Linked DNA regions of Cricetulus griseus. The protein of the gene in region 1 interacts with the protein of each later gene in a pairwise test. Links are inferred from orthologs where the notes say so. Each region holds a gene or a part of one and is shown in the gene's direction. Other genes may lie near its edges.

The links.
Region 2: the proteins of protein LDOC1-like (region 1) and Gnl3l interact in binary tests that used the Homo sapiens proteins (3 or more experiments, as listed by UniProt). The two-hybrid records come from large-scale screens. The link is inferred for Cricetulus griseus from reciprocal best matches to the Homo sapiens genes LDOC1 and GNL3L.

What each region holds. Positions count from the first base shown.
Region 1 is NC_048604.1:11,336,454-11,338,912, reverse strand, and holds protein LDOC1-like, read left to right. Parts: upstream 1-1,379; coding exon 1,380-1,832; downstream 1,833-2,459. UniProt on the Homo sapiens protein: May have an important role in the development and/or progression of some cancers.
Region 2 is NC_048604.1:108,472,958-108,476,612, forward strand, and holds part of Gnl3l (guanine nucleotide-binding protein-like 3-like protein), read left to right. Parts: intron 1-53; coding exon 54-137; intron 138-447; coding exon 448-583; intron 584-1,424; coding exon 1,425-1,528; intron 1,529-3,411; coding exon 3,412-3,556; intron 3,557-3,655.

The sequences.
Region 1 (2,459 bases):
TGGAGCTGTACATGCCGACAGACAATTCACATATAGATGAGACAGTTTGGGAAGCCCTTTCTCAAAGTAGTATAAAATGAGGTAGGCAAGTAAAGGGGGAAAGATAGCTAGAAGGGACAAAGGCTCTGAGATTAGGCGAGATCTGCTTGATGTGTGCAGGAATTAGCAGGCGAGGCAGAGATTAGGACAACAGGAGGTCATGTAAAAAGGGCATGCAGAAGGAGGTCCTTGTATGTTACGACCAAGGGTTTGCTTTTTATTCAGAGCAGCAGAGAGGGAAAAACTGCTGGAGAACGTCGAAATGGGGAGTGAAAGGCTCTAACTCACATTCTAAAAGTGTTCTGAGGCTATTCTAGAGAATATGCAGAAAAGGGGAAGAATGACAGCTAAGGGATTAGATGTAGCAGACCAGACCGTGAAAGAAGGCTGGGATCGAGGTAGCAGAGATGCCCGGAAGTGACTGAATGTGGAGATGTATTTTAAAAAGCAGACCCAATAGCTATCAGCTCAAGGATCCTGGACCAAACTTAGTTATCGACAACTAATGACGTTTAAAATAGGCAGACAAAGTTATTTTACAGAGCTCATCACAGTTTATAACTTAGGAACAAAGGCACTGATAACAGGAATATGGAAAGAATCAAAGATAGAATGTTGGCAAATGGATACTCTGTGCAGATTTGGAGATCTTTTGGTGAAATTGTCTCAACTGAAGAGAAGCCCCTGTTGACAATTACTTATGTATTTAATGAAAGCACCCCTTGCAAGTCTTGAAGTCTCTAAACTCAAATGATCTCCCGCAGTATGACCCTCAGTGTCAGTGTTATTTCTCTGGGTGAAATTTAAACAAGCAAGGAAATGTGTTAAGAAAGCATTACTCTAAAAAAATGTTGATGGCTGCAGGCCCACCGAGGAACACTGTATTGGATGAACAGGTCGGCTGCAGAGAAGTTTAAGCTGAAGCAGGCCAGCCCTGAGTGCTGAGCTTCTATGCTCGCACAGCCCTCCACTGTGGCAGGCTTGGCTCCCCCAGCGTTTCTTCATCAGGCTGGGGGAATTGACAGAGGCCCGGGGCGATGCTCCCTTGGTCACGCCTTCCTCCTCCTGGGCCACGTCCACTCGGTCCGTCAGTCCCACCCTGGCCACACCCCCACGCCACCAGCACTCCCCTCCGCCACGCCTTTCTCACCGCAGTGCGCTGGCGCATTGGCTGCCAGAGTGACCTTGTGGGTGGAGCTTCCGCCACCAGCTAGACCCCCTCTGCGCAGTGCCCAGGGTCAGCACTCCTCTGAGGACACGCACTTCCTCTACGGCCTCCTTGAGCAGCTCCGCGGAGCCGATCCGAGCCCGAGAGCCCGAGACCTGCCAAGCGAGTCACCATGGTGGACGAGCTGGTGTTGCTTCTGCACGCGCTGCTGGTGCGACACCGCGACCTGTGCATCGAGAACAACCGGCTCATGAAACAGCTGCGGCTGCTGGTGTGTGAGCGGGCCATTCTGCTGCGCCAGGTACGTCCGCCCAGCTGTCCGGTGCCCTTCCCCTCACCGTTTAATGGCGAGAACGCCCGGCTCCCCGAGTTTATTGTGCAGACGATGTCCTACATGCTTGTGAATGAGGACCGCTTCTGCAACGACGCCATGAAAGTGGCATTCCTGATCAGCCTCCTCTCCGGGAAAGCCGAGGATTGGGTGGTGCCGTACATCCAGACAGATAGCGCCATTCTCTGTGATTATCGCGCGTTTGTTGAAGAGATGAAGCAGTGTTTTGGCTGGTATGACGACGAAGATGATGATGATGATGATGACGACGACTGTGAAGCGGTTGATTGCTAGGCCCCGAGCCCCCTTAGGCCTACATGAGGAGGACCCTGCACGCTGCGTCCTCCCTACCCCCACCGCTACTCCTGCTGCCTCCGTGCCCCCCTTTGCATTGCCATTCTCTTCCCTGCCAATCACTTCGCTCCTTCATCCCTTTTAGTGCTTGTCTTTGTGCCAATTACCTGCTACGAGTGCTTGAGTTGGGCCTGGGCCTGGCTCTGAGGTTCACAGTGTTCAATTTTAACCAATCCGGGCACCTTTCTAATCTGAACTGTGTTTTGAGCTCCAGCCATTGTCCAGGCCTGTGTTAGAACTCGTCAGACCACCTGCATTCCTGCCGCTGGCTTCTGATGGATCGCCATCTACATCTGCCAGAAGTGGATGCCTGTCACCTCACCCCCCCCCACCACCACCCCCCACTGCATCTCATCTGCAGCCATCCACTTTTCAAGATATGGACCAGGAAGAAGATGATGGAGTTGGCTACATCTATTCAGACTCTCATTTGGACAGTTCACCAACCCTCCTAGAAGGGGCCATTCTTACAGCCTGGTTAGTTCTGTACCTACTTCCAGGTTCCTCCTCTGCCGGACCAGATTGCTGCAGGAGCCTGATGTGCCTGCCTGACTGTTGAAATGTTGA
Region 2 (3,655 bases), about 97 Mb from region 1:
GCTTGCCCCTTTCTCCTCTATAAACTATTACTCTCTTTTTTCTCCTCCTCTAGGAGGAAGTTTTGCAGGAATTGAATATGTTTCCTCAGTTGGATGATGAGGCCACACGGAAGGCCTATTACAAGGAGTTCCGTAAGGTAGGATTCATTTCTTCCCTTTATCTTCGTTTGTTTTGTTTTTAGAGAAGGTCTTATTCTTTAGTCTAGGCTAACCTAGAATCCACTGTGTGCATCCCAAGCTGGCCGTGAACTATTTGCAGTCCTCTTGTCTCATCACAAGTGTTGGGATTATAGACTTGAGATACATAACAGGTACCCGTTTCTTAAAGCCCTTTGGTGAGGACCCCAGTGCATTTTCATTTCTTCATTTCTGTTTATTGCTGACTGAAACAGAGACTACTACCCAGTCTGTTCTCAGGCTTCTTACTCTGTATTTTCTGTCCTGCAGGTGGTAGAGTACTCTGATGTGATTCTGGAAGTCCTGGATGCTAGAGACCCATTGGGCTGCCGCTGTTTCCAGATGGAGGAGACTGTCCTTCGGGCAGAAGGCAACAAGAAGCTGGTCTTGGTCTTGAATAAGATTGGTAGGTTTTGGAAGGATTGGGTAAGGCAGGGAATAGGGTAAGCTAAGGCTAGCTTAGATTAGGCACTGAGACCTATCAGCGGCATTCATAATTGCTATTGATAGGAATTCTTGTTCAAATTCCCAAAGCCAGAAATATTGTCTGGTACACACACAGACACATAAAGAATGTAGCATGGCTTGGGGGTAGAGTCTGAGCCTGTTTGCCTTTCAGCCCCCTTTCCTTGCAATTTTGAGCCAGTTCTGTGGCTGGTCATTCTTGGAGACCTGTCCCCACAAACCGGAACACAAAGATTTGGACAAGAGAGAGCACATGGCTTGGGACTCACTGAGGTATTAGTCTTATCGTACTTTGGTATTTTCTTCTTGATAGCAGATAGATCATGTTGCTCATGACAACTTCTATTTCTCTCATAGTAAATAGGGGCACGGCATCTCAGTCTCACAGCTTTATTGTGAGAATTACTGAAGAGCTTGGTGCAAATCAACATTTGACAAATCATAACTGTTCTTGGTGATTTTTTTTCTTGACACTTAGCCCAGCCTAGAATGATTAGGAAAGGGAATAAGGTATTTGGGCACATTGACTTGGAAGGGGGATGTCTGGGACAAAACTACTTCTTTACATATTTTCTTCAAGAGGGTAAGCCTTCTTAGGGAGGGCCAACTGGTCCTGTGGATCAGATTGTTCTCTATGACTCCATTCTGGGGAGCATGCAGGGACAGTTAGGGCAAGAGGAGCGATCTGTTAGTAGGAGGTAGGCCTAGACATGGGTATATGGCTTAGGGGAAGCCACAGAAGTAATGTTCTTACAAGTCCCATCTGTTTCTGTTTTTCCCAGACCTGGTTCCCAAGGAGATTGTGGAAAAATGGCTGGATTACCTTCGCAATGAGCTGCCAACTGTGGCTTTCAAGGCCAGCACCCAGCATCAGGTCAAAAACTTGGTAAGCTTGAAGTAGGAGTATCTAGCCTCTTTCATTGTGGTTTGGGGTTAAGGTTGTAGGTCTTACGATTTGAATTGGGCTTTCCACTTTGAGGTATTTTCTCTAGTGGGTGACTTGTTAATTTTTATTTTCCTTTACTTCTTCCTATATCATTGCCCTTCAGAAAGCATGCTTTTTTGGCTGTGAGGATATAATAATATATACTGTCTATAGGAGATATGGGAAATGGAGTTAACTACTTTTTAGCTCTTCAAAACATTTCCCCCTCTTTAAAACAAGGCATAGTAGGCTCAGTGGTTAAGAGCATTTGCTTCCAGAGGACCCAGGTTCAGTACCCAGCACCTACATGGCGGCCATCTATAACTCCAGTTCCAGGGGGATTTGATACTTTCTTCTGACCTCTCCAGATATGGTACACAGACATACATACAAACAAAACACTTATACACATAAAAATAAATGAATATTTATTGGCTATCCTCCAATTCACTCTGTAGACAAGGTTGGCCTCAAACTCAGAGATCCTCCTGCATATCCTGAGTGCTGGCATTAAATGCATGTGCCAACACCATGACTTTAGTAAATAAATAATGTTTAAAAAGAAACCCATAGGGCCGGGCGTTGGTGGCGTATGCCTTTAATACCAGCACTCGAGAGGCAGACGCAGGCGAATCTCTGTGAGTTTGAAGCCAGCCTGGTCTCCAGAGAGAGTGCAAGGATAGGCTCCAAAGCTACACAGAGAAACCCTGTCTCCAAAAACCAAAAAAAAAAAGAAACCCAAAGAAGGCATAATATTTCCTATTGGTATCAATATAGAATACCTGTAAAATACTGAGATGTTAGAGTAACATTAATTGTTTTGGGGGAGATAAATTGGGTTCTGGGGGACAGGTTTTTCAGTTTTGTTTTGTTTTTTTTTGCAGTTCTGAGAATGGAACCCAGAGCATCTTGCCTATGTAGACACTATCTCTGAGTCCCTATTTTCCAGTTTTTATTATTATTTAGGCAGTGCTTATGTTAATCCACTTATACTTCTCTCCTTGGCATGTAGACAAATATTGGTGTGGGCTGAGTACTGAGTAATAGTGTGGCTGTGTCATACATAAGCCTTATGCTTTCTATATTTTCTTAGACACGGACAAATTATCCTCTACAATAGCTCTGCCAAGTAATCTTCCTCCCACTTGGGTAGCTGGATGTGTGAAGAGGACCTTTTTCCCTATACTCTTGCCAACATAATATGGTTAACTTATAATTTTGTGGTCCCCCCTACACACACATCAAAAATAAAAGTAGGGAGCTTGGGATGGCCTTCTCCTGTGTGAGCAGCCAGCTTTGGGCCAGGTACCCTCTGCACAGGCGGAGAAGTCAGGCTTCCCTTTTGTGCATATGAGACACTAAGGCCCTAGGAAGAGAGAGAGGCTTTTCTTCATAGTCCTGGGAGTGAGAGAGCTAGAAATGAAACCTAGCTTGCCTGAAGCTGGGTTGTCTTCATGTTTCTGTTGTGGGAGGCAAAACTCATGTGTGTTGTTGAGGCAAGAGAAGGAACAGAGAAAATTGTAGACATAAAGACACAACTTAATCCCAGTACTTGGGAGGCAGAGGCAGAGGCAGGAAGATCTCTGAGTTTGAGGCCAGCGTGGTCTACAGAGTGAGTTCCAGGACAGCCAGAGCTGTTACACAGAGAAACCCTGTCTCGAAAAACAAACAAACAGAAAGGCACAACAACTGGAAACAAGGCAGAACTGAGATGTAGTTGCTGTCAGAAGCCTATGAGATTAGTGAACCCAGGGCGGTTCTGAATATTCCACTGCGGGTTAGAAATTTGGCCTTAGAGTGTATCTCCCACCTGATGCTCATTTTGTAATATACTTCATTTTCAGACTCGGTGTAAAGTTCCGGTAGACCAGGCTTCTGAGAATCTGTTGAAAAGCAAAGCCTGTTTTGGAGCTGAAAACCTCATGAGGGTCCTGGGGAATTATTGCCGCCTAGGGGAAGTGCGTACCCACATTCGTGTGGGCGTCGTAGGTAAGGCTGTGCAAATAAGCAGGGTCCTTGGGGAAGGAAGGAGGGAAGGGGTTTGGAATTTTGTTTTGTTTGGGCGGGGGAGATTGGGCTTTAGGAGTG